3 linked regions of the Tribolium castaneum genome follow. The protein of the gene in region 1 binds, or shares a complex with, the protein of each later gene. Links are inferred from orthologs where the notes say so. Each region holds a gene or a part of one and is shown on either strand. Other genes may lie near its edges.

Evidence for each region.
Region 2: transcriptional adapter 2-alpha (region 1) and NC2beta share a complex: the UniProt entries of both Homo sapiens proteins name them as parts of the ADA2A-containing complex. The link is inferred for Tribolium castaneum from reciprocal best matches to the Homo sapiens genes TADA2A and DR1.
Region 3: transcriptional adapter 2-alpha (region 1) and Nipped-A share a complex: the UniProt entries of both Homo sapiens proteins name them as parts of the PCAF complex. The link is inferred for Tribolium castaneum from reciprocal best matches to the Homo sapiens genes TADA2A and TRRAP.

Annotation. Positions count from the first base shown.
Region 1 is NC_087398.1:11,841,946-11,853,728, forward strand, and holds transcriptional adapter 2-alpha, read right to left. Parts: upstream 5,377-11,783; 5' UTR 5,296-5,376; coding exon 5,235-5,295; intron 5,192-5,234; coding exon 4,339-5,191; intron 1,868-4,338; coding exon 1,432-1,867; 3' UTR 1,404-1,431; downstream 1-1,403. Other genes in the region: rhodanese domain-containing protein CG4456, read left to right, coding at 5,648-5,650, 5,706-6,137. UniProt on the Homo sapiens protein: Component of the ATAC complex, a complex with histone acetyltransferase activity on histones H3 and H4. Required for the function of some acidic activation domains, which activate transcription from a distant site. Binds double-stranded DNA.
Region 2 is NC_087398.1:1,907,841-1,917,730, reverse strand, and holds NC2beta (protein Dr1), read left to right. Parts: upstream 1-6,222; 5' UTR 6,223-6,341; coding exon 6,342-6,582; intron 6,583-6,629; coding exon 6,630-6,901; 3' UTR 6,902-6,924; downstream 6,925-9,890. Other genes in the region: uncharacterized protein LOC103313276, read left to right, coding at 7,553-7,952, 8,000-8,243, 8,377-8,545, 8,593-8,912, 8,962-9,004, 9,050-9,226, 9,271-9,400, 9,877-9,890. UniProt on the Homo sapiens protein: The association of the DR1/DRAP1 heterodimer with TBP results in a functional repression of both activated and basal transcription of class II genes.
Region 3 is NC_087401.1:16,692,115-16,703,146, reverse strand, and holds the start of Nipped-A (transcription-associated protein 1), read left to right. Parts: upstream 1-1,023; 5' UTR 1,024-1,151; intron 1,152-1,328; 5' UTR 1,329-1,361; coding exon 1,362-1,511; intron 1,512-1,561; coding exon 1,562-1,861; intron 1,862-1,913; coding exon 1,914-2,108; intron 2,109-4,459; coding exon 4,460-5,686; intron 5,687-5,737; coding exon 5,738-5,833; intron 5,834-7,555; coding exon 7,556-7,770; intron 7,771-7,816; coding exon 7,817-8,266; intron 8,267-8,312; coding exon 8,313-8,457; intron 8,458-8,533; coding exon 8,534-10,115; intron 10,116-10,229; coding exon 10,230-10,912; intron 10,913-10,993; coding exon 10,994-11,032. Other genes in the region: facilitated trehalose transporter Tret1, read left to right, coding at 1-751. UniProt on the Homo sapiens protein: Adapter protein, which is found in various multiprotein chromatin complexes with histone acetyltransferase activity (HAT), which gives a specific tag for epigenetic transcription activation.

The sequences.
Region 1 (11,783 bases):
TTAGGTTATTTCACTTTTACAAAGTTCTACAAAATTTTCTTGTCTAATAAAAATGGAGAAAAAAAAAACTGATTTTTGGTCTAAAAACGTGTTTAAATCCCCAGAACTTTAAAAAATAATGCCATTTTTAACATAATCCTGTCAGTTCTTGGCTTACTGTTTAAGAAATTTTGCGAAATAATTGAGTTTTTGCTAAGTGAACGATTACAAAAGGTAAATTTTTGGTTCCAGTTTAATAAAAACAGGAAAAAAAATGAATGAATGTTTGATCTAAAAATGTGTTTAAATCTTCAGAACTTGCAAAACAATGTCATTTTTGACATAATCCTGTGAATTACTGACTTACTCTTTAATAAATTTTGCGAAATAATTGAGATTTTGCTAAATAACCACTTAGAAAAAGTATATTTTTGCTCATTTTTGACAAAATCTGGGTTTTTTTCATTCTAGTTTTATAAAAACAAGAAGAAAAACTTGATTTTTAGTCCAAAAACGTGTTCAAATCCTCAGAACTTGAAAAAATAATGTTATTTGTGACGTAATCCTGTGATTAAAGGTAAATTTTTGATCAAATTTGGTGATTTTTTTTCGTTCTAGTTTCATAAAATCTTGAAGAAAAACTTTTTGATCTGAAGACGTGACTAAAAAAGTTCTAAACGTTTAAAAACTGGTTGAATTAAAATAATTTAAAACAATTTTGCACCGAGATGCTCAACGCGCTCTCATTTTTACTCTGCGGTATTACTTTTTTTTCGTCTTTTGTTTAAATAGTTCTCCGAATTTAAACAAAAGAAGAAATAATACACCCATAAAAAAATCTTGTAGTTTTTTTTGGTAAAAAAACAACACAAAAAATTAGCAAATTTTTATTAAAACCCAATATAAATACATATTATGACGAAATTATGCCTCCTGTAGTAAAAAAATGCTCCCAAATTACAAACTGTATTTTTTCTACAACTATAAAAACTTCTAGTATTGTATACTGCGTTTAGTTTGGATGTCGTCCAAGACGGCTTGCAACTCCTCGTCTTCGAATCGTCCTTCCAAGCTGGGAATCAAAGACTTTGCCTCTTCAGTGGTTTCAGGACACAGATTAGCAATGGCTGCTAATTCGAACTTGTGCAACTTTTTCTGCATCAACAAACTATCAAACAATTAAACATAAAAAACCCAAAATTTAATGAAAAAATTACTTTCTGACGGCTGAGATCGTTTCCTTATTTTTAAATTTCCTAAACCTATCCGTGTAAGTAAGAGTCTTCATGAAAACATCGGAAAACTCTTGCTCATCTTCCGCCGACTCGTTCTGCGCCTTCCTGTGCTCCAACAACATGTGGACTTCCGAAATGAGCAAAGTTTCCGCATTCTCAAACTCTGTAAAGAAGAAATAAAACCAAACATTCACAACCGAAAGTATATTTGAGAAAACTAAGACACAGGTTTGACAATGTAACCCTCCTGTACTAAAAAATCGTACAAACGCCTAGTCTTATTCACATCAATTTTGAGTATTTTTCTCGCCGTTTTGAGTTTAATAGAACCCATCTTCTTGTTTTCAGTTATAAGAATGTCTTTGAGCTCGAGATAAGTGATGGGTACCAGTCGTACAGTACGGCACAACTCCCTCTCAGAAGGAGTCAGTTTTTCGTAACCGGGCATGCCGATGATTTCAATCGGAGTAAACCCGGATTTTTTCTTCGGAGTTTCCACCGGAAAGCTCCGGTTGGTCAACTTCCAGTTAAACTGCGCGCTGGCGTGGAGCGTCTTCAGTTCGTTTTCGCACTTGTCGTGAATTTCTTTCAATTTAACGTAAAGTCGGGCGTCGGCGAGTGACGTTATTCCGCGTTGACGTAATTCACACAATCTGCAAAACCCCCCTATAAAATTGGGCGCTTTTATCTCCATAAAAGCGACTTATTGATGTTTTCCAAAAAAATCAATGTCCCATATAGATATGGAATCCATACCATGCAATCACTTTGGTAATTAACTGATTAGTGACCTAAAAAGTTTGCGCATACAAAAATACCAAATCAGAGCGAATTTGTTATTTTAGCTTGTTTTGCTTGGTTTAGTTCGTTTTTAAAGATTTATTTGCTTGGCAAGATCTCGTCAAAACATACTTAAAAGTCGTAAACATAAAACGAAAATATATTATTTTGTTTGTTTACTTGTTTAATTTCTTTAGCTCGTTTTTTAAATGATGTTATAGTTGACTTTCCAGTTGTTTAAGCATGTTTTAAATGTAAAATTATAGTCTTTACACTTTTTGAACTAGAGATTTATTTAGTTCGCAAGATTTTGATCGTAAAAAAATCGAAATTCATTATTTTTTGTCTCGTTTTAGTATTTCTTCAAAAACCGTGGTCATTAAAACACTAAATTACTTATAGCTAAATTTTTGTATTTCAGTTGAAAATAAATTTGAGGTAAAAAATGCAATTTTCCTGAAGGAAAACGTGCTTGAAAAAACACATAATTCAGTCGAAAACGATGTTATTATCCTGTTTTTTAAATTTTTTACTACGTTTTTCTCCCAGAAAGTTATTTATTTTAAAAAATTCTTCAAAATTGAGAACTGGATCGAATGTAGCACTATTTGCTATGTCTCATGTTTAACCAAGGTTTTCAACCAGATAAAAGAATATTTATTTTGCGAGCTTTGCAAAAATTTCTCAAAAAATTGCCGAAATATGTGTAAAGTAACTTCGTTTTTGCAAGATTTTGTTAGAACGAAATACCAATAATATCACAAAACTAAGTCAAACGTTTTTCTTGTTCGTCAGGCTACAGCTATTTGAAGAATTTTGTCTGTCAAAAATTCTTCAAAGCCTTTTAGTTCGTTTTTAGCTAAAAATTCTCTTTCATATATTTTTATTAACCTTACAATTACACCAAAAATTGTGTTAATGTTGTCGTTTTCGTATCTTTGGGCATGTTTTAAAATAAAAAAAATTGCAAAAACTAACTGAAAATCCACAAATTAAATCGAAATTGTTGTTGTTTACTTTGGATTGGTAAATTTACTACTTATTTAGTTTGGATAATCTTGCCAAAACACGTCTAAAATATTACAACATAATTAGAAAATTCTTATTTTGTGATATTTCGCCAAAAAACATTACTTTGCAATTTCACGTGTTTTAGCATTTTTTTTTAAATTGTGTTTAAAAATGACATAAAAGCATAAACCAGGAGGAGATAACACAAAAGTCGATCGTTTTTCTTGGCCAAAAAATGAGGAGTTTTGTCAATCAATCAAAAAAAGATGTTACTCAAAAAAATCACAAAATTAAGTCAAAACTTTTGCTTTTGCAAGCCGAAGATTTTTAAAGACCAAAATTAATGCTATGTTGCAGCTTTTTGTGAGCCTTTATACATGTTTTAAGGTAAAAATTAAAGTGTTTAAAAATTCTCTAGCTAGAAATTCACAGAATTAAATCTAAATTGGGGTTATTTTAGTTTACTTTGCTCAATTAAGTTCCTTTTTTGAACGAGAAATTTAATTTAATTACTCTGCCTTTTTCGAAAGTTTAGCATTTCTTCAAAAAACGTAATCACCAAATTGTTATTATTATATTATATTTTTAATTATATTTAATATAATAAAATATAAATAATAATAACAATTATATATTATATAAATAAATAAAATAATTAAATATATATGTAATTATATTCTTAACTATCATATTTTAAAGCTCGTTTTTTTAAGGTAAAACGCAATTTTTACTGAAATTTTGCTAAACTTGCTTAAAAAATCTGCTCGAAGATGACAATATTTTACTATTTATGAGATTTATTACCACGTTCATCCATAAAAACACATTTATTTCGCAACATTTGCTCAAAAAGAAGCCAAAAAAATTGCGATTAGAACGAAATTAGCATTATATTTGCTTTTTCGAGTGTTGAAGCGCCGATTTGTTTGAAAAAAATGTTAATTCTGCATTTAGCGAGTGATATAACTTTTTTCGCGAGATTTTTTTAAACCAAAACGGTTCCATTGTAAATAGCTATTTGTGCAACGAGATAGAAAAAGTGAATTCTTTCTGGAAAAAACTTACGAGTTGAACACAATGTTTTGTAAAATTCCGTGAATATTGAAGAGTTTGAGAATTTTTCATCGAATTTTACAAGTGTTTTTTTTTCCAAAATACAAATTGTATTATTTTTCGTCACGCCACTAACTGTTGAAGTATGTTTTAACATTTTTCTTTGTTTTTATTAATCTTTAGTGAACATTTTTTTCTCCGTCGTGTTTTTTTGGAACTCAATAAGCCGCTATTATGGAAAATAACCAACTTTATATTAATTCAACCGTTTGATATGAACCTAAGAATTTGTATTTTGAGTTCGCCGCTGTGGTGTAACCCCTCCATCAACATTTCGAACTGGACAGGAGTACAAAATTGCATAAATCGGATCAGTTTTTCATACACAGGACGTGTAATCGTAACGTCATACCGATGAAGCCAAGCGTAAACTTTCCGCAGAATAATCAATCCGTGTTCTCTTATGATTTTTTTCCACCTTTGGCGCTCCCTCAACCGCCGGTTATAACTCTGAATGATCGCACATTGAAGATTTGTGATCAAGTCAAAATGAGGATCGTCCTTATCAACCGGTTTAAGGTTCGAGAGCAGATCCTCAGCCGACGAATCGAACTCGCATTCGAAATCGGACCTCGCGGGGTTATAACCGGCCAAAGACTTGTACCCCACTGTGTTGGGGGAGTAGCGAGGGGGCTCATCGGTGTCGCTAATCCGCTGTCTGTAGGGCACCACCGGCTCACAAAACCAGTCCCTTTTGCTCGCCTCGGGCAAGTCTTTGGACCCCTTTCTGTCTAAATAAAACCAATCGTAGTGCGCCCTAATCTCCCTCACACTCCGATTTGGGAACTCTTTCGCCACTAAATTCCAGTTCCCGTATTTTTGTAACGACTCTAACAACACCACCTCCTCCCGAGCCGTCCAGTCCGTGTTACCCCAAACCGGAAAATCGTCGCGGATTATGTGATAATCGTGATCGTTCTTGTGCCCCCCAAACTCCGCACCTTTCGAAAAACACAGCGAACAAATATTCACTTTACACAAAGCGCAATAAATGTAAGGCGCGACCAAATCGCACGAACAATTCGAACAAACACTATCAGAGTCACTAGAGTAAAACGCAGGGGGGCCACAGTCTGAAACCTCAGTTGAGAACGAGAAGTAAACAAGGGGGCTCACCTTTGGGAAACTGCAAGTCAGCGGCGTCTTCTTCGGTTAAGTCGGTGTTTGCGTTTGCCATTTTTTCGAAAACTGTTTGGATACCACAAAAACTTAGGTTATGTGCATAGGTTATGTGAGCGGCAAGCGCTGCCTACCTGGCAAAATTTAAAGCACTAGCACTTTACTAGTGCGGTGTTTTTTGACGATTATTTATGAAATTATTATGTAATTCGAACGCAATCGGCATAAAACGTGAAAAAAAAAATAATTGGGGAAAATTTGATTGTAGCCACGGGACCTCTAATTTGTTTTGTGTGAATTGTGTGATACCAACGGTGACTGTAAAAAGTCTCCAAACTGATTTTTGCCAAAACTGTCGTAATTTAATAAAACAGGCGATAAAAAATAGTAAAAATCGCTTTATTGGCGCTATGGTAGTTCACTTTACAAAAACTAATCAATTAAGTTAATTACATAATTATTTTTTAGGTTAGGTTACCAATGTCGCTATCAAGGGGGCCCCAAATCCTCTCCCTTGTGAACAAAACGCCCGTCTTTCTTAGACTTTTCGCAACGCAAATCGCCTCATTTGATGAAGTCAAGTCAGTAAAAACGACTCCTAAGACTCTTCTAATCGATGTCAGGGAGCCCCACGAATTGCAGGAAACCGGAGTTATTCCTGACAGCATCAATATTCCACTTGGCGAAGTCGAGAAAGTGTTAAAAGACATGCCTTCTGAACAATTTCAAAAAACTTACAAAAAGGCTAAACCTGATTCTAGCACCCCCTTAATTTTTTCGTGTCGTTCGGGGAAACGTAGTGCCCTTGCGTCCGAGATTGCGACGAAGTTGGGGTTCAAAGATATAAAGAATTATTCCGGGGGGTGGCTAGAGTGGGAGGAAAAAAGTAAAAATATTTGAGTTGTAAATAAATAATACGTTATATGAGTGTAGGGGTTGTAGTTTGATTTGGATTTAGGTAGTGCCGTATTTACTTATTTACTGCGGCACAAAAGTGATAAACATGGAATGTTAAAAAATAAGTCAAAAAGAGTTTGCAATCTACAAATCTCGTCAAAAATTTTTTGAATGATAACACCTTTTGAAAGGCCTGATCACCATAAGTCAAAAATACTCACAAAAGCAAAACCAAATAATAATTTTGCATGTGTTTTGCCCTGAAGTGGATATTAGATACGATTTCTTCATTTGTTGATGTTAGGAGCATCCAGCGCCAATGTGGACACAAACACTTATTGCAAAAAAACATCAGCGCCGTTTTGAAAACAACATTTACCTACTCCATGACCCCCTTCCGTACTTTTAATAACGTGGGACAGTTTCCTCGAACTTTTCGTCTTCTTTGTTGGATTTTTTAAATGTTAATTGTCAAATTGAAAAAGTGCGCGCGCATGCGCTTTGATTTTTAACATGTCATTCAAGAATTCACTGGTTGAATCTTTTTGATTAATATAAAAGCGTTTCAATTCAATATTTCTTATTTATTTCCTCTCATTGTCCCAATTTTTGTGCCCAACATTACCTAGGGGGGTAGAATTCAGAGAAAAACTGAAGATGTGAGATGCAACAAAAACAAAGACAGACTCATTAATCATCATTTTGTGAATTAACGTAGGGCACGTAGTGACTGTTGTAAAATGTGTAAGCATTTTGATTGGGCCGTTTGAGGTCGGCCATTAAAATTACGGAGAAAAACCAATCAGTTTGGATTTTTTGATTCATTGAAAATTGTGGTTTTGGATATGATTGGTCAATTTATGGTCAGCCATTATAATGAAGTTAGAAACCAATCACTTGAATTTTTGGACTCATTCACAATTCAGTGGGAATACCGTGAATGGTTGTTTTCCTCTTGGTTTAAATTTGAAAGCAGTCAATAAATAAACCTTGTTTTTTTTAAACGTCTTTTTTTTAATACTTCCCTATAAATAAAAAAATTATTGGTAAAATTGGCAACAACTCACCTCAAGTGCCTCAAATTTTGTTGATTTATTTCGATAAAAAAAATTACGTTTTCGTTGAAGTATTGCCAAAAATAATGGGTTTTGGATGTATTTCTTTCCTTTGAACGCATTATTATCAAAATTTTCTTTTTCGGATGTTTATTATTGGGAAAACACTAAATTTGTAGGGCACTACCCTGTTTTTTTCATGTGCCCAATTTTTTTGGCTTTGCTTTTTGCAGGGTTTTGGGCCTTTTTTCATTGTTTACTTTTGAGAAAGCCGCTAGATTTGTGAGATTCAACCTTGACTTTTAAGACGCCAAATGTTCTGGTCAAAGAAGTAACAATGTAGTATGTCCTTCTAAAAAGTTTTATTATGGAATTATTTAGGCTAATAATTCCATAATTATGGGGGCAAAAGTTACCCCAGAAGTACAGATTATAGTTTTTATCTTTAAAATTGCTTATCCAATTTTTATAAAATTTGGTATACAGTCGTTATTATAGATAATCATTTAATAGTGCAAATTGTAAGGTTGTAGAACATTGTTAAATCGGGCTACGAGAGCCCCCTTGCCAAAAATTGCTTCATAACTTTGCAGCACAAATTAATATGACTTTTGTTTTACTTAAAACTCATACCATTCAGAAAGTTTTCTATCCCTTGTAATTTTTTTTGTAAAATGTACCTTTTTGAGTAAAATCATAAAATGTGCAGAAAATATGCAGTCGATATCAACATATACATCACAATGTTTTTAAACTAAACAAAAACTTTACAAAATTCTTATCGGTAGGTATTTGTCCATGTTTCTGTTATTTTACTGATTTCGTCTCTAAAATTTTTACAGAGGATCTTTTGCTGTAATGTATAATAAAATAAAATATTCAAAATTAATCAGAAAACTGCAAAAAAATAAAAAATGCCAACTTTACGAATGAAAACTACGCCAGCAAACAGCGATTTAGAAACTTTTTGGTGTTTATAAACTGCCTCAAGTTGGATTCTTAAATTTTTTGAATGAAACTAAATTCTTTACAACTTTGTTTCTTACATTTTTTATTTGTAGCGTTTTCGAAATACGAGCGAAGCCAAAATTGATTATTTCTTGACTTCCACTGAATTGCAGCATTGTGTTAACAGATTAAGACTAGACTGGTCGTTTCGTTGTAAAATAATTGAATGTTCAGCGATATAAAAAACGCACTTTATTAAAGTACCAAAAATCTCAGTCCGCTGCTGGATTTGACGGTTAGTTTATTTAATAAGCAATTATAATTTAGGTACGCGAAGGCCGCTTATTTTTAGTACACAGGAATGTTTAGACCGATTTGAATAGAATATAATCGCAATAACTTCGAATTAATTTACTTTAATGAGTAGAAAAGGTGATAAAACCGCTGTTATCTCAATTGAGAGTTTGCGACCTCGCATTATCGCTTTTATTTAAATGAATGAATCCCCGAGACGTCCACCTTGAGGCAGGGACTCCGTCGTGCATCATCGCAAAGTTTAATTGGACTTGACCGGCGCGCCAAAAACCATTTCATATCACATGTTGCCTCCATCGTGTAACAATCACGCTCCCAACTTTGCTAATTTCCGCTGTTTCGTTATCGGTGAGTGCGAGTTGAGTGATGCGGCGGGAGTCCTGGTGCTTCCTCCAGGTAGGTAAACCCCTCGGCCTCCAAGTGCCGACTCTTGCTTGCCTTGGACGGTCCAATCCTAATCCCGACCGTTCAATCGAATTTATCACTTATTTACACTACGTGTTGTTATCAAACAGCACAACAGGTGCTCGAATGTTATCGGGGGGATGTTCGAGGGAACGGCAATGGACACGGACGTGTCCTATTATTCAAATGGGTTCGATAAGGAGTTTGCTTTCTCGTGCGTGAGGAGATTGAAGAACGAAAGTTTATGCTAAATATTCGGTTACAGTTGAAGGTCTTGGATGAGTGAGACAATCGGAAAAATACGAATTGTAATTATTTAAACAGTTTTTTATTAATTTCCATTTAGGAGATAATCTACCAAATGTGCATTGTTCTCACTACTTCTCACTCCAGTCTAGCAATTGCGTTTTTTAGCGACAAAACCATTAAAACATTATAAATTCATTACCCAAGGTCTTTGATGAGCAAATTATTCGATTAGTAAATTGTCAAGTGCACAGGAAAATTAATAACAATTACAGTAAAGTTCATTTGTGTCTCTATTCGATAAAAACTAATGTCAGGTTTTCTCTGTTTCGTTTTCCAATAATATAATTTACATACGGAAAAACATGAATTAAAAAACGTATTGAAGAAATAGTCAGAATCTTTAGCTGTGTCTGGGGAAAAATAAAATAAAAACGCCATTAAATTCTGAACTAATTCGATCTTGTAGACTACTTCAGTAAACACACTTCAAATAAGAGAGCTTCTGGAACGGAGAAGTGAATAAAAAAATGAATGAAAATTCTTTGAATACTGTATAATTTTCATCGAAGTCCTGAATTCATATCCCAAGATCTTAGTACCAATTTATGCGGGTTTTTGTTTGTGTTTGATAAACTAGTGCAAACTGAGTGAAAAAATGTATTCTAATTAAATATTATCGTCTAACTAAATACGATAATCAAATATTATTTCTTAAAAACGTACAAATTTTGCAGTAATTTTGCGAATCCTACTGACTGCGCCAATTTTTTAGTAAGCGTGTAAGTGTAAAGATTTACAGATGAAACTGGCGAAATGATTACGTATTGTGATTAAGTTTTCTGTTAAAAAGTCCTGACTTCATATCTCAAGATCTTAGTACCAGTTTATGCGGGTTTTTGTTTGTGTTTGATAAACTAGTGCAAACTGAGTGAAAAAATGTATTCTAATTAAATATTATCGTCTAACTAAATACGATAATCAAATAGTATTTCTTAAAGACGTACAAATTTTGCAATAATTTTGCGAATCCTACTGACTGCGCCAATTTTTTAGTAAGCGTGTAAGTGTAAAGATTTACAGATGAAACTGGCGAAATGATTACGTATTGTGATTAAGTTTTCTGTTAAAAAGTCCTGACTTCATATCTCAAGATCTTAGTACCAATTTATGCGGGTTTTTGTTTGTGTTTGATAAACTAGTGCAAACTGAGTGAAAAAATGTATTCTAATTAAATATTATCGTCTAACTAAATACGATAATCAAATATTATTTCTTAAAAACGTACAAATTTTGCAGTAATTTTGCGAATCCTACTGACTGCGCCAATTTTTTAGTAAGCGTGTAAGTGTAAAGATTTACAGATGAAACTGGCGAAATGATTACGTATTGTGATTAAGTTTTCTGTTAAAAAGTCCTGACTTCATATCTCAAGATCTTAGTACCAGTTTATGCGGGTTTTTGTTTGTGTTTGATAAACTAGTGCAAACTGAGTGAAAAAATGTATTCTAATTAAATATTATCGTCTAACTAAATACGATAATCAAATAGTATTTCTTAAAGACGTACAAATTTTGCAATAATTTTGCGAATCCTACTGACTGCGCCAATTTTTTAGTAAGCGTGTAAGTGTAAAGATTTACAGATGAAACTGGCGAAATGATTACGTATTGTGATTAAGTTTTCTGTTAAAAAGTCCTGACTTCATATCTCAAGATCTTAGTACCAGTTTATGCGGGTTTTTGTTTGTGTTTGATAAACTAGTGCAAACTGAGTGAAAAAATGTATTCTAATTAAATATTATCGTCTAACTAAATAGATAATCAAATATTATTTCTTAAAGACGTACAAATTTTGCAATAATTTTGCGAATCCTACTGACTGCGCCAATTTTTTAGTAAGCGTGTAAGTGTAAAGATTTACAGATGAAACTGGCGAAATGATTACGTATTGTGATTAAGTTTTCTGTTAAAAAGTCCTGACTTCATATCTCAAGATCTTAGTACCAATTTATGCGGGTTTTTGTTTGTGTTTGATAAACTAGTGCAAACTGAGTGAAAAAATGTATTCTAATTAAATATTATCGTCTAACTAAATACGATAATCAAATATTATTTCTTAAAGACGTACAAATTTTGCAATAATTTTGCGAATCCTACTGACTGCGCCAATTATTTAGTAAGCGTGTAAGTGTAAAGATTTACAGATAAAACTGGCGAAATGATTACGTATTGTGATTAAGTTTTCTGTTAAAAAGTCCTGACTTCATATCTCAAGATCTTAGTACCAATTTATGCGGGTTTTTGTTTGTGTTTGATAAACTAGTGCAAACTGAGTGAAAAAATGTATTCTAATTAAATATTATCGTCTAACTAAATACGATAATCAAATAGTATTTCTTAAAGACGTACAAATTTTGCAATAATTTTGCGAATCCTACTGACTGCGCCAATTTTTTAGTAAGCGTGTAAGTGTAAAGATTTACAGATGAAACTAGCGAAATGATTACGTATTGTGATTAAGTTTTCTGTTGAAAAGTCCTGACTTCATATCTCAAGCTCTTAGTACCAATTTATGCGGGTTTTTGTTTGTGTTTGATAAACTAGTGCAAACTGAGTGAAAAAATGTATTCTAATTAAATATTATCGTCTAACTAAATACGATAATCAAATATTATTTC
Region 2 (9,890 bases), about 9.9 Mb from region 1:
CTAATTCAACAATAAAAAAGACGTTTTTTAAAAATAAAATTATGGCTTTTTAGTTGTCGGAACAATGTTAAAAAAATTTATCTTGTCCAGCTCCGCAAATGCACTGTTGCAGTTTTCGCCCCATTTCACCCCGAAATCGGTTTTGTCACACAATGCCCTTTTGACCACCAATTCAACAATAAAAAAGACGTTTTTTAAAAATAAAATTATGGCCTTTTAGTTGTCGGAACAATGTTAAAAATTGTTATGTTGCCCAGCTCCGCAAATGCACTATTGCAGTTTTCGCCCCATTTCACCCCGAAATCGGTTTTGTCACACAATGCCCTTTTGACCACTAATTCAACAATAAAAAAGACGTTTTTTAAAAATAAAATTATGGCTTTTTAGTTGTCGGAACAATGTTAAAAAAATTTATCTTGTCCAGCTCCGCAAATGCACTGTTGCAGTTTTCGCCCCATTTCACCCCGAAATCGGTTTTGTCACACAATGCCCTTTTGACCACCAATTCAACAATAAAAAAGACGTTTTTTAAAAATAAAATTATGGCCTTTTAGTTGTCGGAACAATGTTAAAAATTGTTATGTTTTCCAGCTCCGCAAATGCATTATTGCAGTTTTCGCCCCATTTCACCCCGAAATCGGTTTTGTCACACAATGCCCTTTTGACCACTAATTCAACAATAAAAAAGACGTTTTTTAAAAATAAAATTATGGCCTTTTAGTTGTCGGAACAATGTTAAAAATTGTTATGTTGCCCAGCTCCGCAAATGCACTGTTGCAGTTTTCGCCCCATTTCACCCCAAAATCGGTTTTGTCACACAATGCCCTTTTGACCACCAATTCAACAATAAAAAAGACGTTTTTTAAAAATAAAATTATGGCCTTTTAGTTGTCGGAACAATGTTAAAAATTGTTATGTTTTCCAGCTCCGCAAATGCATTATTGCAGTTTTCGCCCCATTTCACCCCGAAATCGGTTTTGTCACACAATGCCCTTTTGACCACCAATTCAACAATAAAAAAGACGTTTTTTAAAAATAAAATTATGGCTTTTTAGTTGTCGGAACAATGTTAAAAAAATTTATCTTGTCCAGCTCCGCAAATGCATTATTGCAGTTTTCGCCCAATTTTTTATTTCACAGAATTTTTTGATAGTTGATAGCGATCGTCAGGATGGACCCATATGCAACGATACTTAAAAAAATATATCCGAAATTGAATTAAAATCGGAAATAAATCAGGCTGAATTACCGGGCCTGCTAACAGATTATCATTTATACTCAATTTATTAGAGCTTTACATGAACAGTCAGTCAGACTACAATCAACTTGGTACTATCACTGTTTTCATTAATTATAATTACACAACTGTGTGATAAGTGAAAAGAATTTTCGGTAGAATCGTTTACTACGAGTTCCATATGTCCCAATTTTAAATAATTTTTCATGAACGAAATGTACGTACCCCTCATTTAGTTTATGATCCCTAGCTCTCCTTTTCTCCACCGACAACAAACGGTTTAAAGCTATTTTGGGCATCAGGCGGCGTTTGCTTAAAAGGACCATAAACCATAAACCATAAACCGCCCATCTGGGAATCTCCCATGTGTTTTGTTAAAATGTTTTTCACAAGAATTCTGTGAAGGGTGTTCAGTAAATTATCATTTATTGCATCTTTATTTTCTATTTCCCAAAATCGGACAATATTATCACCAAAACAGGCGAGTTATGATAACAGGCGTGCATAAATTGGGCACTATTGAATCCCCAAATACCGGGCACCCTCTCTTTACGTGTTCGAGTCCTAGAAATTCGGCACTGCATCTTATCAGGTCAAAACGGATTATTACCTGATCACCCCTTTTCGGACATCACAGAAAAAAAAGACGAAAAAGACAACTTTATCAAAAAAAATTTATTAAAGGTGTGAACATCTAAAAACAAGTTATTTTGTTTTCTTGTAATACAAATTTACGTAGTTTGTGCCATTCTGATACAATGTACCTAGATGGTACTTGAACTTCCGCAGTGGATAACAACACATTTCAGCTGAAAACCAAATTACACTGACAGAATATTTTTAGTGGATGCAGCATTCTATTCATTAATTTCATGGGTATTGTCTACTGAAGTATTATCAAAGTGCAGGAGAGTATGATCCTGTTTTATGCAATGTTTACAGCTCGATACGTTTACATATTTTATACAAATGATTTTGGTTTAAGCAATTAGTCCACCAGTTCAAAGCTTTTATCATCTCGTATCGCTTTCGCGCAATTATCTTTAAAAAATCGGGGCAACTCTACAAATTATGTGACTTTGAACAAATAGGACATGACATTGATTGTCTGTTACACATTTACTACACATTTTTAGTGTAATATTCCCGTTTATATGATCAGTACTTTATATTATTAGATATTTTTTTCGATAAATAGCTCTATTAGTATTGTACGAGTAGGTATCAGCACTGAAATATTTTCTGGGTGTTATCAGCACTGAAATATTTTCTGGGTGTTATCAGCACTGAACTACTTTTTCGGTGTTCGCTACACTGAAAAGTGTTCTGGGTGTTTTTTGGACCGGATGATAAAGTGCATAATTTTGAGAATTATGAAAAAACTCTAAATTCTAATATTAAAAAGATGTTTCTTTGATCCTTGATGTCTGTAATGGTTTAACATGTAACAAAGATGGTTGTAACGAATACAAGGTATGTTGAAATAAACGCAATAAACTTCCAATTATAAATATAATGTTTTTGTTTTACAGCATTTATGTTCCACTTCGGATTAATTCAATCGACAGCCAGGCTCTAAAGGTTTACCACGAAAAATGAGAAAAAACAAAAGTGGTTATCACGAATACAAGGTATTCGTATGTTGAAATAAACTCAATAAATTTCCAATTATAAATACAATCTTTTTGTTTTACAGTATTTATGTTCCACTTCGGATTAACTCAATCGACAGCCAGGCTCTAAAGGTTTACCACGAAAAATGAGAAAAAACAAAAGTGGTTATCACGTATACAAGGTACTTGTATGTTGAAATAAACTCAATAAATTTCCAATTATAAATACAATCTTTTTGTTTTACAGTATTTATGTTCCACTTCGGATTAACTCAATCGACAGCCAGGCTCTAAAGGTTTACCACGAAAAATGAGAAAAAACAAAAGTGGTTATCACGAATACAAGGTACTCGTATGTTGAAATAAACTCAATAAATTTCCAATTATAAATACAATCTTTTTGTTTTACAGTATTTATGTTCCACTCCGAATCAACTCAACCGATAGTCAGTAATTCGACAACTTCAAGTTCTCCAAGATTCTCGAAGTTTAATCGTCTTAAATTTGGTGCAAATTTTTAAATTTGTTGTTAAAGCTATAATTTCGTTATTCAGAAATAGTATTTAGTAGTCCTTATCCTCTAAGATATAATTAGTCTATTGTGTTTGTATATCTTGTGGTAACTGATATCTATTGAAAAGAAACCCGAATTTATTCGAACAAATTTTTACCCGCACATTATAACTTTATATTTAATTATGATTATGTTTTTTTGATATTCGCTATTCCGCTTGTAAGATTCGAAAAAAGTTTTCTGCAAAAAATCTAAGCACAGTTGTTTTCTGTCCTAAGATCTTACCTGGTCGGCAGAGACAGCCAGTCTTTTATGTTTTATTGAAAGGGCGCATGAGTCTTAACACTTTTACAAAAACCGTCATAATTTCACAGATAAGGTTTATGAAGGTTGCATAATCTTAGAAGGTAAGGTTTACTAATTACTACACTATTTTTGTTTTGAAAGAAGGCGTTGTGTAAAACATTCTGTATTTATGTTTAAATTTGAAAGGAAATGTGCAATATAAGTTTGTTACTTGATTTGTTACTTTATTTAATTGGATAGTAAATTTTGTGTTGTAGTCGACAATACTTAAAAAATATAGTTTTACTTGGATTATAATTGCTTTAAATTTTTCTTTTAAGAAAGACGTAATTGTTGGATGAATATTATAAATATTACAAATAAGTAACTAAATAAGGGCTAATATTCACAGTTTGTAGAAAACACAAAAAAGACAATTTCTTAGTATTAACGGCCTCTTGGACACTAAAATTAAAAACAATAAAGAGAAAGAAATTAACTGTGTCTGTACAAAATCAAAATTGGGTCATTTATTATGCACAAAAAATATAAAAGGGCATTGTGTGACAAAACCGATTTCGGGGTGAAATGGGGCGAAAACTGCAATAATGCATTTGCGGAGCTGGAAAACATAACAATTTTTAACATTGTTCCGACAACTAAAAGGCCATAATTTTATTTTTAAAAAACGTCTTTTTTATTGTTGAATTGGTGGTCAAAAGGGCATTGTGTGACAAAACCGATTTCGGGGTGAAATGGGGCGAAAACTGCAACAGTGCATTTGCGGAGCTGGACAAGATAAATTTTTTTAACATTGTTCCGACAACTAAAAAGCCATAATTTTATTTTTAAAAAACGTCTTTTTTATTGTTGAATTGGTGGTCAAAAGGGCATTGTGTGACAAAACCGATTTCGGGGTGAAATGGGGCGAAAACTGCAATAATGCATTTGCGGAGCTGGAAAACATAACAATTTTTAACATTGTTCCGACAACTAAAAGGCCATAATTTTATTTTTAAAAAACGTCTTTTTTATTGTTGAATTGGTGGTCAAAAGGGCATTATGTGACAAAACCGATTTCGGGGTGAAATGGGGCGAAAACTGCAATAATGCATTTGCGGAGCTGGAAAACATAACAATTTTTAACATTGTTCCGACAACTAAAAGGCCATAATTTTATTTTTAAAAAACGTCTTTTTTATTGTTGAATTGGTGGTCAAAAGGGCATTATGTGACAAAACCGATTTCGGGGTGAAATGGGGCGAAAACTGCAATAGTGCATTTGCGGAGCTGGAAAACATAACAATTTTTAACATTGTTCCGACAACTAAAAGGCCATAATTTTATTTTTAAAAAACGTCTTTTTTATTGTTGAATTGGTGGTCAAAAGGGCATTGTGTGACAAAACCGATTTCGGGGTGAAATGGGGCGAAAACTGCAATAGTGCATTTGCGGAGCTGGAAAACATAACAATTTTTAACATTGTTCCGACAACTAAAAGGCCATAATTTTATTTTTAAAAAACGTCTTTTTTATTGTTGAATTGGTGGTCAAAAGGGCATTGTGTGACAAAACCGATTTCGGGGTGAAATGGGGCGAAAACTGCAATAATGCATTTGCGGAGCTGGAAAACATAACAATTTTTAACATTGTTCCGACAACTAAAAGGCCATAATTTTATTTTTAAAAAACGTCTTTTTTATTGTTGAATTGGTGGTCAAAAGGGCATTATGTGACAAAACCGATTTCGGGGTGAAATGGGGCGAAAACTGCAATAATGCATTTGCGGAGCTGGAAAACATAACAATTTTTAACATTGTTCCGACAACTAAAAGGCCATAATTTTATTTTTAAAAAACGTCTTTTTTATTGTTGAATTGGTGGTCAAAAGGGCATTATGTGACAAAACCGATTTCGGGGTGAAATGGGGCGAAAACTGCAATAGTGCATTTGCGGAGCTGGAAAACATAACAATTTTTAACATTGTTCCGACAACTAAAAGGCCATAATTTTATTTTTAAAAAACGTCTTTTTTATTGTTGAATTGGTGGTCAAAAGGGCATTGTGTGACAAAACCGATTTCGGGGTGAAATGGGGCGAAAACTGCAACAGTGCATTTGCGGAGCTGGGCAACATAACAATTTTTAACATTGTTCCGACAACTAAAAGGCCATAATTTTATTTTTAAAAAACGTCTTTTTTATTGTTGAATTAGTGGTCAAAAGGGCATTGTGTGACAAAACCGATTTCGGGGTGAAATGGGGCGAAAACTACAATAATGCATTTGCGGAGCCATAAATATTGAAATTAGGTGAAAAAGTGGGAAAAATTAAAAAGCAATTTGTGGTAAATAATTGAGTTTTTCGCTATTAGCATAGTGACTTTCTTAAAATGTCATTTTTAAGAGGGTGTTTAGTGTTTTTTCGGATTTTTATTTTATTAAACGGTTTCAAAGCTGACAACCAAACATACATCTAAGCAAACTGAAACTTATTTTGCTAGTCTGAAACTGGCTTCATGTTCGGGTCTCTTCGGAAATTCGAGGAGCTGGTTTTGGGAGCTGTCTTCACACAAATGACGATCTGTCATTTCGCGGACTCTAACAGCATTATCCTTGACATGTCAAATTGTTCCAGCTGTCCCTATTTGAGGTTAAATATCTCTTTTTTGTTGATAAATATAACAATTTACAATGTCTAATCAAAATAATGCTGGTGGTTTAACAAATACCGAAGACGATGAGCTGACTTTGCCTCGGGCTAGCATTAACAAAATGATAAAGGAGTTAGTCCCATCAGTTCGAGTTGCAAATGAAGCAAGGGAATTAATCCTCAACTGTTGTACGGAATTTATCCATTTGCTTAGTTCTGAAGCGAACGAAATATGTAATCGATTGGACAAAAAGACTATAAATGCGGAACACGTTTTGATGGGTATGTTTCATCATTGTTAAACAACACAAAAGTAAAGTTTTTCGCAGCTTTAGAAAAGTTGGGTTTTGGAGATTATCAAACCGAAGCTGAAGCTGTTCTTAAGGACTGTAAGGCTGTTGCAGCGAAACGCAGGCGACAGAGCACAAGGTTAGAAAATTTGGGAATACCAGAAGAGGAGTTGTTGAGACAACAGCAGGAGTTGTTCGCCAAGGCTAGGCAAGAGCAGGCTTTTGTGGAGCAACAGCAATGGGAGCAACTACAAGCTGCGGCACAAGCCCAAGCTTCGGCTCTACCAAACAATGATGATGATTACGAATGATTTATTAAACGCTTTAAATATTTTGTTATTGTTTTCATTTATTTTTTAATATCTTAGATTTAGGCTTTGTATCAACCACAAACATTCAATAAATAGTGACCCAACGTTTTTTACAAGAAAATTATTCATCTGCAATCTTATGCGTACGAAGTCTAAACAGGATAAAATAACCAATTTCCTAACGCTGAAAAACACTCATTATTACAGTCTTGGTAATGTAGTCCCTGTAAATAATTAAGTAATAAAAATAATTATTAAATAAATGGAAAAAAAACCTTTAAAACTAAGCGCCAACTAAGTGCCAACGTAACATGTTTGCCATGTTTTGATCTTGGCAACACTTTTTTCATTGAAATATCCCCAAGATAATGTCATTTTCTAATAGAAAAAAAGTTATTTAATTTCCATTTAGCACGTAACCGCAGAACAATTTTTATATTTAATACAAAAATAGTTTTTTTGATAAGCAAACTAGAGATACAAAAAGGCGCAAAGCTGCCGTACATTGAGGTTATGTGAATGAACTCGTGTAAGTAAATTCTCCAGATTTTTTCATCATTATCGCAAATAGTGCGCTTACCCAAGCATGATATTTTAGAATGTTGAAAAAAAAGTAAATAAGCAATAAATAATCTTTGAAAAAAGTGCACGATGTCGAGTAGCGAAGTTGGTGTTGAAAAAAATGAAAACGCTGAAACCAAGCCCCCAACACCCAAAAAACGAGGAAGGAAAAGAAAATCAGAAATTACTGTGAGACAGTTTGAGGAGGAAATTGATACAAGTCCAAAGGAAGAAACTGTATCAAGAAGGGGACGCCTACGTAAAAAAGTGAACTATTACGAATTAGCTAATCCAGATAATCTGGAATATACACTACCTGTCCAAACGGAAATCAACTATTTTAGTACCAGCGGAAACGGGGAAATAAAAATTAAGAAAAAAAAAGTTAGGCACCAAGAACCAGATTTTTCCGAAACTTCTGCTGACAGTAAAGAATCAGCGAAGCAGAAAGATGAAGACAATGTTTTAAGTAATAATGAGCCGCAAAAGGGTGAGTTATTCAAATTAGTTATCACAGCGTAATAAAAAATGCGTTAGATTTATTTAAATCAACGAATGGCAAAGAAGATGATAGTTTGCTTCAAGACTTGGTTCTTGAGGACTCTACCACAGATTTTGAGGCAACCACAAGCACTCCGAACTCTAAGGACAAAAGATACAATTACACAGGCGAGACTGTGAAAATGATGAATAAACTGTTCAGTTTATTTGCAAACACTAGTGATGATAACAGTACAAATAATACCAGCAATGGTAACAATTTACCAAACAGTGGTAAAAGGTAGGTGGTTGTGACTGGAATATTAAAATTTAAGGTTCAAATCACTCAAAAAATTATCAAAAATTCGAATTTTTTTTTGTTAATTAAATCACTCCGTTTATTAAACTTAAAAAAAAATAAAAATTAATAACAGGTCAGGCAAGAGACAACGAAAAGATAACATGAAAGAGGAAGACTTGGATGACGGCACTGGCAACGTCACGTGTGCAATTTGCAACAGCACATTTGACAAAAATATATGGACCCACCATAAGCAGAGATATCATAATAATTTAGCGTGGAGGGTTGGAGACCCACCTTTAGTGAGTCACCTAAATGTTAGTGACTAAAAGTTAACGAAATGTTTAAGGACTTAAACGACCAATCTTTTGTAATGCACACTCTCAACTCGTTGTACAAGAAAAAGAAACCTTTATATTGTGATAAATGCGGGGAAGTAAAAAAATCAGTAGTTGGGTTTTTATCTCACCGCTCCCAATGTTTAAAATCGGGAGAACAGCTCGAATCTGTTAAAATTTCTTGCGACTTGTGCGGGAGGAGAATGCTACCAGTGAGTCTAACAACTCACATGAAAATGATACACCAGAATCCGGACAAGGAGGAGGTTCCGGAAAAAACGACAAATAACGCGGCAAAACCGCTTCCTTCCAAAAGAAGTGCGGCTAAAAAGTACAATTACAGTAAAAATCCGAATTTATTTATTATTTGACTGTTTCAGAGCAATGAGAATTATTGAAAACGTTACGAAAGTTGATAATAAGGTGAAATGGTTTAGAGACGTGTAAGTTTTTAATTTTTTCTTTCAGGACCAGTATTTTTCAGCAAATTTAGATCTAGGTTCACAACAATTTGCAAAAGACTTGATGCAGAAAGAGCTAGACGAGACACAATTTATAGAATGTAAATTCAAGTGTAATTGTATTACAACAAGCATGGAAGATGCCTTGAGTCATTTGAACGAATGTCCGGAAAAATTTAGTGAAGTACGTTTTGTGTTGTTCCGTCCTGAATTAATTACTTTTTTCAGGGTTTTGTTTGCAAGCAATGTTTGCTGATTTCGTCCAAATTGGAAGACATTATTTATCACATTGAATTTGCTCATGAAATTAATGTAACAGTTGATGGCGACCCCAGTTATGTGGACAAAGAATCCAACAGTAAGTATAGCACAGGTGTTTCCCATTAAGTGTTCAAATATTTAAATAAATTACGGGAGCCCCAGATCAGGTAACATTATTTTAAAACTCAAAAAAAATGTGTGTTTAAATGAAATTGAAAAAAAGTAGTATGTATACAAAAAAAAAATAAGGTTTGAAGTTTGAAAACATTTTTCGACAAAACTGTTGAAAACAATAAAAAAAACTAAAAGAAAATTAATAAATAATACATTTACAAGGTGAGTGCTTAAAGTTTATTGTACGTAATTTTATTAATCGTATAATTTGGAAAACTTGTTTGCTGCGCTCACTCGTTTTGGCAAACATTATGTTCGCAAAACAACAGACTCGCCTTGAATTGTAACTGATTGCTAAAACATCCCGTATACTTGAAGAAAAAACAGGGGATTCCTATTAATTTTGAATATTTGAATGTTCTTTAAATGTACCGAGTTAAATTTAAAATACGTTTTTAGAAATGCCCTCATTT
Region 3 (11,032 bases), on another chromosome or scaffold:
CGAAATTAGCGCCAAAGAAATCTACTGCAGTGCTGCCACCATTAAACCGTTCCTCATCCTTGTCACTTTGTTCTTTCTCCAACAATTATCGGGGATTTACACGATTCTTTTTTACGCTGTGAATTTCTTCGAAGAGACTGATCTCGAACTGGACAATTACGTGTCTTCGATCATTGTCGGGGCGATTCGGTTCGGGATGTCAATGGTGACTGCGATTCTAGTGAATAGGTTCGGCCGTCGCCTACTTTGCATGGCCTCGAGCGGGGGGATGAGCGTTGCAATGTTGGCAATGGTCGTTTATTTCAAATACTACGAGATGCATGCGGGGGAAGTACGGGTTTTGCCGGTACTTCCCCTGGTGTGTGTCGTCTTCAATGTGATGTTCTCCATGGTGGGGATGCTCCCGATTCCGTGGATTCTGGTCGGGGAGTTGTTCCCGCTGGAAGTTAGGTCCATCATGAGCGGGATTGTCATCTGCATAGCGCAGTGTTTTGTCTTCCTGTTTGTCAAAATCTACCCTGATATGATCGAACATTTGAATTTCAGCGGCACTTTGATGACTTTTTTGTTGGCAGCAGTGGTCGCGCTGTTTTTCTGTAAATTTGTGTTGCCCGAAACTAAGAACAAATCCTTGCAGGAGATTGAGGATTATTTCAAACGCAAGAAGGTTTTGGATGGGTTTGATAACCAAGGGTTTTGCCCGGAAGTGATAAAAAACGAGGGGATTTACACGGTGCAGATACAGACATGACGTAATTACTTTCAACTAGTTGGAAAAAACTTAGTTCTTATAGAACCGACGGTGATTGATTGTACAAACAACTATTTTTGTATTTAATTGATGAATAAAATTATTTATTTTTCGACTGTGTTTGATTGGTTGCCTACCACAATTAGCCACAAATATCTGGTTTTTAAGCCACAATACAAGCACAATTAAATTGCTCGTTTTTTTTACAAATTGTGCTAGTTTTTGTGTTCCGATTTTTCGGCAAAAAGGCCAGAAATTGATAATTCCAAACAACATGGCGCAACTCTAGCCACTTCTTCACCTAGTTAACCGTAGCCACTTCCCATTCATTCATCGTGAATATGTTTAAAACACGGAAAAAAGTGTTCCAGTGTTAGAAAAACGTGCAATTTTCGAAAAAGTTAGTAGATTTTGGCCCAATTAAGCGATACGTTTTTTACACGAATGAAATGCGTCAACTTTAAGTCGGTTATCTGATTGTTTTTTTTTGGAGGTTATGTTGTTCATTCACTTCTCAAATTTGAACGTTTTTTGCTCGTTTTTTCGGCAAATTTTGAGCCCCGGCTTTACGTTTAAGGTTTTAAGATGTAAAAAGTGAAGTGGGCCCCAAATGCAGTCAAGTTCTTCGACCATGGCGGGCATCGACCCCCATACGACTCAAATGAACCAGTTCAGGAGCTACGTCACGATGTTGGGGGACGCCAACTGTAAGGACGTCCTGAAACTGAAAGCCACGCAGGAAATTAGCAAAAATTTCGAGGTATTTGCGGTCAAAACCGTGAAAAAATGTCCCTGAAAGTGGGCTTTCAGATCATTCTTTCGTCGTCTCTCTATCAGAGTTTTTTGGACCACTCTGTGAAAATCTTCCTGAAAATACTACAAGAGGGCGATCCGCATTTTATCGCCGAGTATAACATACAGCAAGTGCGTAAATTAATTCTGGAGATGTTGTACAGACTGCCAACGAATGATCTTCTGAGACCTTATGTTAAGTCGATTTTGTCGCTCATGTTGCGCCTTTTGGAGATTGATAATGAGGAGAATGTTTTGATCTGTTTGAAGATTATCATCGAGTTGCATAAGCAGTATCGGCCGGCGTTTAATCCAGAAGTGATTTTTTTTTTTTAATTAATTTTGTTTGAGATTTAAGTGGTTTTTGTAGATACAACATTTTCTCCAATTTGTTAAGTCAATTTATTCGGATTTGCCCAATCATATGGACAAGATTTTTGAACCTAGGGCGCCAATTAAAGTCAATAATTTAAATGAGTTGAACATTGAGGAGTTACTTAAGGAGACGTTCACAATGACGACCATACAAACTGAGAAGAAGAATAAAGATGACACTTTAGTCACGGTATGTTTAATTTATTTTTTGCTGCAATAAAAATTTACAAATTCTTAAAAAAAACGCCGATTATGTGCTAACATTTATGTATTAAAGAATTTGAAACAATTTTTCTCTTTTAAAAAGGAGCTATATCGTCTGGAAATACCTAAATGCACCTTATTATAGCATTTGTCTCGTTTAAAGAAGTTGATTTTTAACGAATTTTTGTTAATAAAATCGTCTAAATTCCCAAAATTACGTTTATTTTGTGTTTTTTTTACTTGTTTTAATCTATTAAAATCACTGTTTTAAAAGTTTAAACATAGATTTTAGCGAGATTTTGTTAAATTCGGCCAGAAAACTACAAATTTATGTTGAATATGTTTTTTTTTGGGCAATTATAGTTGGAAATGTAGTAATTTTTTTTGGATGTTAAGGCATTTTTTTGAGATTGAGACGCAATTTTACTGAATCGGTTTGAAATTTCATTAATTTGGTTCGTAAATGTTATTATTTCGCCGATTTTTATTTAAATTTCGTCAAAAAATGATTCGAAAAATTTCAAATTTTGACATTTCTTGAGTATTTTTGAGTTTTTCGTTTTTTGTTTTGAACGAGATATCGTGGAATTTAAGCCACAAGGCCACAAATTAGGTAGTTTTTTTAATTTTTTGGTGCGTTTTTGAGTGTTTAAGTACATTTTGAGATTAAAACTAAGATTTTTCGACAGAAAAAAATGTTTCTCTTGACTGTGTAGAATTTTATTGAATTTTATGGTAAAGGCTATTCTAAAAAAAAAAAAAAATTACAAAAACAATACAGAAAATTACATAATTTGTATGAAATTGGTTTTTATGAGCTAAAAACTTGTATATAACATTAAGTTAGACTTGGTCTTTTTCTTTTGTTTAAAAGGGCCAAAAAGTGTGAACAATTAACAAAAACCAATTAGTTTTACATTTAAAATAATTAAAGTAACATATTTTATTAGAACAATTTTTTGGCGAATTTTGACTTTTTTCGGTGATTTTTTTTTCAATAACTGAGTTTCCGATGTAATATTGAGCTAAATAACTCACTCAGGATTGATTAAAATCATTTAATTTTATAGTACAAGTCAATGAAACATAAAAAATGTTGATGTATTTTTTTGTTATTTTATTTTATTTTTGTATTTTTTATTTATATCTTTTTTAAAGAGGCCAAGATAAGGTAAATAATTAAAAAAATAATGAATGACACGTTAAATGGACAGAAATAACATAATTGAGACTAATTTTGGCAATTTTTTTGATTTTTTTTTGGTGTTTTTTTTAATCAGTGAGTTTCTGTATTTAGAACTTAGAATTAGTTGAAATCTGGATAGTTTGCGAATAATGTAAACGAAAACGAGTAAATGAACGTAATTCTTTTTGTTATTTTATTACGTGTTCTTATAGATACTTTTTTAAATTATATTGACATTTTTATTCAAATAAACAGACAAAAAGTGGATAGTGAAAAAATTAATTAATCACATCAAAATTAGTTTCTTTACTAGCTGAAAGCTTGAAATTATATAATTTAGTCCAATGTTTTTAATTTTTTTCGGTAATTTTTTTAATAAGTGTGTTTTCGTATTTTAAAGGCAATTATTTTGAGAAACTTTGACTTATCTAAAGATTTTTTTATTAACCAAACAGTGCTTCTTACGATTGTAAATTAGTATTTTTAGATTGAATTGCACTATTTGTGTATAACATTAAGTTACTTATTAATTGTTGACGTTTTTTTTACTTTGTCTTTTTCTATATTGTTTTTTCTTTTATTTAAAATTGCCAAAAAGTGTGAACATTTAATTAATAATCTTTTTTAAAATAGTTAAAATATCATACTTGGACCACATTTTCGGCGTATTTTCGACTTTTTTCGGTGATCTATTTTTTATTTTATTTCATTTTTATATTTTTTATTTATTATATTTTTTAAGGAGGCCAAAATAAGATAAGCAATTAAACATCCAAGATATCTTGTATTTTTTCACGCGCTAAATGGGCAGAAATAAAATTTTAATCAAATTTGGCGATTTTTTTGAGTTTCTTTGGTCAAGTCAGGTCAAAACAAGTTGAATAATTAAAAAAAAAAAAACCAAAAAAAATAGTTTTTTGACGAATTAAATTGTCTGAAATAACATAATGATTTGTTCATAAGTTCTGTTCGAAGAAAATAATGTCCTAAAACATCTTTTTTTTGCCTTCAGTAATAATTGACTATGTGCCGTGGTAGAAAATTTGTTTAGTTTTTAAGCGATTTTTGCTTAAACGTCAACTTATTATGACTTTTTTCTCAATTTTCTCACTGGTTTTATAGTATCCATTCACCGGTATATATTTTTTCAGTATTACTTAATCCCTAAAGCCGTCCTCTCCCTCAAAGTCCTTCAGGAACTCCCAATAATCGTTGTCCTCATGTACCAACTGTACAAACAAAGCGTCCATCAGGACGTCAGTGACTTTATCCCTCTAATCATGAAAACAATCACCCTCCAACCCAGTCCCGAACAACGCCAAGCCCCAACTTTCAACAAAGAAATCTTCGTTGATTTTATGGGCGCTCAAGTGAAAACTCTATCATTCCTCGCCTACATCATCAAATTCTACCTCGAACACGTCCAAAGCCATTCCGCCATGATGGTCCAAGGCATGCTAGGACTCCTCATGCTATGTCCAATGGAAGTGGCTCATCTCAGACGCGAGTTACTCATTGCCGCTCGCCATATCCTAGCAACCGATCTCCGAAATCGATTCGTCCCCCACATGGAGAAGCTCTTCGATGAGGACGTCCTCCTTGGCCGCGGTTGGACGACGCATGAGTCGCTCCGCCCACTCGCCTACTCCACATTGGCCGATCTGGTGCATCACGTGCGCCAACAACTGCCACTCAGCGATTTAACACGCGCTGTTCATTTGTTCAGCAAAAACGTACATGATGACACGTTGGCAACGACTATACAAACCATGTCGTGTAAACTACTCTTGAATCTCGTCGACTGTATTCGGGCACGTTCGGAGGCCGAGAATAGCACCGAAGGTCGCGAGTTGCTAATGCGCATGCTTGAAGTTTTTGTCGTCAAATTTAAAACAATAGCTAAAATACAACTTCCGATTTTAACGGCAAAGTGCAAACAACAACAACAAAAAACACAAGTCGAGATTAAGACTGAAGATGGCGCTGCAAATCCGGCGGAAGTTCTGGAAAATGCGCTCGCGACGACGCAAAATCGCGCCGAACAAAAGGAGGAAAAGTCGAAATTTGGTTTTCCGCAAAATAATAATTACAACGTTGCTGATTATCATAGTCTTGTTAAGACTTTAGTGTGTGGGGTTAAAACTATAACGTGGGGCTGTTCGGCGTGTAAGTCGAGTTCGAGTCATAGTTTGGTGGCAACGAAACATTTTCAACCGCATGAAACGCTGGTTTTTGTCAGATTGGTTAAGTGGGCTTTGAAAGCGTTAGATATCTATACGTTGTATCCGGGACCTCAAGTGACAGGTCCCCAAAGGATTAACCAACAAAATGAAAGGAATAAGGAGGAGAAGGTGGTTTTGGAACATTTCAGTGGAGTGGTAACTTGATTGGTAAGTTTGCTTTTTTTGGGTTAATTTTTTCGGTTTTAGTTTTCGATGATGAATCCGCAAACGTTTCACGAGATTTTTTCAACGACTATTGAGTATTTGGTCGAGAGGGTTTACAAGAATCCGACTTTGCAAACGGTAAGTAAATTAATCTATCAAACTTTTGTTCTGTTTTCTATTGATTTTTTTATTTGCGATCACCAAATTTTCAGCTATGATGTTACTATACTCATTTTTTTTGCAATTCTTTATTTCAGTAAGGCTATTATTTTTGCTGAAGGTATTTATGGAAATACGTTTTTATGTAATATGTACAACTGTGATAATAAAAAATTGGAAAAGCAGAAATTATAAACTGATGGAACAAAACTGAAGAAAGTCTGAATAAACAAAACAAATAATGGAGTATAAGAAAACTAAAGAATGGAAAACTAAATCAAGTATCATGGAAATTAAAAAAGTAGAATTGCATATTTAAAGTCTAACAAAAAAACCAAGAACGAAATGAAGAATTGTAATCAAAATTATGAAATCAAAGAGAAAACTACTTAAACTAAATGAAAAAATACATAAATCGAGCAAGAAAATGTGAACAAATATGGATAGAAATAATCAAGCATCATGGATATAAAATAGTAGAATTGCATATTTAAAGTCTAACAAAAAAAATAAGAACTAAATGAAGAATTGTAATCAAAATTATGAAATCAAAGGGAAAACTACTTAAACTAAATGAAAAAATACATACATCGACCAAGAAAATGTGAACAAATATGGATAAAAATAATCAAGCATCATGGAAATTAAAAAAAGTAGAATTGCATATTTAAAGTCTAACAAAAAAAACAAGAACTAAATGAAGAATTGTAATCAAAATTATGAAATCAAAGGGAAAACTACTTAAACTAAATGAAAAAATACATACATCGACTAAGAAAATGTGAACAAATATGGATAAAAATACATATTTAGAATTAGAAAGGCAAAGGAACAAAGTCTTATGGATAAAACACTTTTTTCCACTTGGAAAATTGGGTAACAGAAACCTTGATAAATAAAAACTAGAAAAGTCTAAGGGAAAATTAAGAAACAAAATTAAACTCCGAATTCGAAAGACTACAAAAAATGTGATTGTGAGACAATCGTACTACTAAAAAGACGAATATTTTAATAAGTAAAAGAAAATATAATTAGGTATCAAAAATATATTGAAATAAGTCATCGGATATGTAATATCAATCTCAATAGAAATATAAAATCCAGGCAAAATAAGTAAAAAATAATAATTTGATAATGTAAATAAACTAAGAAGGCGATGATATAAGGAATGATGTAATGATAAAAAAATGTGTAAATACACAAGTGACTTGATAAGCAGATGCTGAACGGATAGAAATTATAAGGTGGAGAATAAAAAAGAAAATAAAATAAAATAAATAAATAAGTACATATGAGTTACTTAACAAGAATTTTGCCCGTTGAATTTTTTTTACGTTAATATCTATGCAATTTTATCCTAAAACCAAGATAAGAACCTGACTTGCCTTCCGATATTTCATAATATTGACTATCGTTGCTTAAAAATTACTGCATATAATCACAGAGTAAATTTTGTCCATGCTTTTTTTATGGAAATAGAGTAAATATTTGTGTGTGAAGAAGAAATGTTTAAAGTTCTGCTCTTAAATTTATTTTATTAAATTTTTCATTTTACAAGTTGTTTTCATAGTTGTTTCCTATGTAACATAGGATTTATACTAGATTTAAAAATAAGAAGACACTAAAAAAAGGCAGTTAATTGTATTATAATATGCATTGAAACAAGAAGTGGCATAATAACTATTTAAAAAAACCTTGTAGGTTCCGAACACTTTGCTTGCAAACCCGGCCACAAGCCCAATTTTCGCGACCGTTTTGGTCGAATATTTACTAGAACGAATGGAAGAGATGGGTTCAAATCTCGAACGTAGCAATCTCTATTTGAAACTCTTCAAATTAGTGTTTGGTAGCGTTTCGTTATTTCCACAAGAAAACGAGAACATGCTGCGTCCACATTTGCACCAAATCGTCAATAGGTGAGTGCGAGCGTAGCGAGTGCGTCAATTAACCAAACTATCTTAGATCAATGGAGTTGGCAATGAGTGCCAAAGAACCGTACAATTACTTCCTCCTTTTGCGCGCACTTTTCCGCTCAATCGGAGGCGGAAGCCACGATTTACTCTACCAGGAGTTCCTCCCGCTCTTGCCCAATCTTCTCGAAGGTTTAAACCGGCTACAGAGCGGTTTGCACAAACAACACATGAAGGATCTCTTCGTTGAGTTGTGTCTAACCGTTCCGGTTCGGTTAAGCTCACTCTTACCCTACCTACCTATGCTGATGGATCCGTTAGTGTCGGCTTTGAACGGTTCACACATTTTGATAAGTCAAGGCTTGCGCACGTTGGAATTGTGCGTCGATAACTTACAACATGATTTCTTGTACGAACATATCCAACCGGTCAGGGCCGACTTGATGCAGGCCTTGTGGCGGACTTTGCGTAACAATGACCAGGTGGCGCAAGTGGCCTTTAAGTAAGTCGGTGTTTAACATTTGGGGTGGTCTAATTGGCGTTTGTAGAGTTTTGGGTAAGTTTGGAGGTGGGAATCGGAAAATGATGATTGAACCGCAAAAACTGGACTATGTGTCGTCCGATTACGACCCACCAGCGATCATTGCCAAGTTTTATGATCAGGATAAGACGATTGAGTTTCCGGTGCAAAAGGTGAGTGGCCCCACGTTGGGCGCCACTTGGCCCCACGTTGTGCGCCACAAAATAACCCATTTTTTGGTACTTTCAGATAATCGAGACTGCGTTTAATGCACTTAAACAGAGCAACACTGATTCGTTCTACCGCAAACAAGCGTGGGAAGTTATCAATTATTACCTAACTGCGTCTCGTAATCTATCTGATGATAAAAATACGCTAATTAATCTGTTTCTTCACTCGACGTTCCAAGACCCTAAAACTATACCTCAAGTTAAGGGTTCGGTCTATAAGAGCATTTATAAACAAGCACGTGAGACACATCAGACCGCTCTCACCGGAATGTTTGTTGCTGCAGCTATTAAAGAATTGCGGCAACCAGTTGTTGCTTTGATGGTTGCTGTCGTCCGTCATTACACCATGGTGGCGGTGGCGCAACAATCGGGCGCGTTCGCTTGCACGCCGAAACATAACGAACAAGTGGCACTTGACCCACTTGTGTTGGTTGATGCTCTGGCAGTGATTATGGGACATGAGGAGAAGGAGTTGTGTAAGCCGGGTCACGTAGGCCTTGTTTTAATCCTCGATACGGCCTCTACACTGCTCGGAAGCAAGGAAATGGCCTGTCGTTTACCCTTGATTGAGTATTTATCCGAAAAAATGTGTGCCCTTTGCTACGAAAGAGCATGGTATGCAAAATTAGGCGGCTGTATAGCTATCAGTTTTATGTTCGAACGGTGTGCCCGTAAGTGGGTTTATGAACACATGTTTACGTTCTTGAAAGCGTTACTGTTCGTTATGATGGATTTGACGGGTGAGGTGTCCAGTGGCGCCCTCGATATGGCCAAGAATAATCTGGAGAAGATGTTGAATGTTTGTGTGACGGAACCACCGAAAGGTGCCGATCAGGAAACGCGTGACTTGCAAAAGAAGGCGCTGCATGAGGTCACACATGAATTGGTGCGTCAAGTCACCAGTCCCCATACTATGGTGAGGGAACAATCGATGCACTCGTTGCGTCTCTTGGCCGAAAAACAAAACAAATCGGTCACTTCGGTCATGGAACCGTTCAAAGAAGTGCTAGCAGATATGGTACCACCTACCAAACATCTACTCAAACACCAACCGGCCATTGCCCAGATGGGCTTAATGGACGGCAACCAGTTCTGTACCACCTTGAACCCCCGACTGTTCACAATCGATCTATCAATCAAAGAACACAACTTGTTCATCCTCGACCTCCTCTCACTGTGTAACAGCGAAGACGTCAAACTGAACACGTTCAGTTGCTACAAAAACATCACCAATTTCATACCGTTGAGGAAATCAGCATTGCGCGTCCTCGCCGCCTGTCATTACCTCGAAGAAGTGCGCGAGCAAATTTTCCAAGTGTTGTACAAAGCCCTCGAAAAGCCCAACGCCGAGCTACAACAAACCGCATTCGAATGTATGCGTGATTTCATCGCTGGATATCAAGTCAACAAGGACTTGGTCTACCAAACCATTAAACCCTTCCTACTCACGCTAGGCGATGCCAAAAATCTGACCCTTAACGGCGTCAAAATGCTATCATATTTGACACAACTATTCCCGTTGAATTTCAACGAGAGTTTGTGTGAGCAACTGTTGGAATTGCTCAAACAACTACTCGAAAACTTGACAAATAGCCACAAAGGTGAGTGGTGATCATTTGGTGACTGGCCCCACGTTGGGCGCCACTTTGTACAATGGTTATAGAGTGGCGCCCAACGTGGGGCGTGCATTATTTTGAAATCAATTAATTATGTAGTGTCCACCGGTGTGTCGAAGAAAGGCGACGAGGAGCAAAAAATCGTCACAATCATCGGGATATTTCACCAAACGCCGGCCGCCTCCTCGAAGTTTATAAATCAGTTGTGCCAACTTATTCTCCAAACGGAGCAGGCCATGCTGATCGAGGCCAGCTCTCCCTTCCGGGAGGTTCTAATGAAGTTTTTGTTGCGTTATCCCGGTGATACGCTCGATATGTTCCTCGATGATACCTACGTTAAGGATAAACAGTTTAGTCGGTATCTTGAGTTTTTGATTAAGCATAAGGAGGGGAAGAGTTTTCGTGACTATATACAAACCAGTATGGTTAAGAGATTGATTCAGATGGCGCTGGCCAACGTCCACGTTAATTACACTCTGAGTGAGCAGGAACGTAACGAATTGCAATATCAGAGTATTAGGATTATATCCTTGTTGATAAAAAGTGACGATCAGTGGTTGTCCGAACAACAGGAGTTGGTGGAGGCGTTGAAACAGATTTGGTGTGATGATGCGTATCAGGAGCGGCATAAAAGTGTCGATAACTTGGAGTATCCTCATTGGAAGGAACCCAAACTTTTGGTCAAGATTCTCTTGCATTATTTCTGCTACCATCCGAATAACGTTGATTTGTTGTTCCAACTGTTGAGGTGTTTGTGCCACCGCTTCATACCCGAGTTTCAGGTAAGCATAATCATTTAACTACTGAATTGTTATTATAAAAGTATTAATGACCACGGCTTAAAACCGTAATTTTTTTTCCAGTTTTTGAAAGACTTCCTCGCCAATACAGTCGCCCAAAAC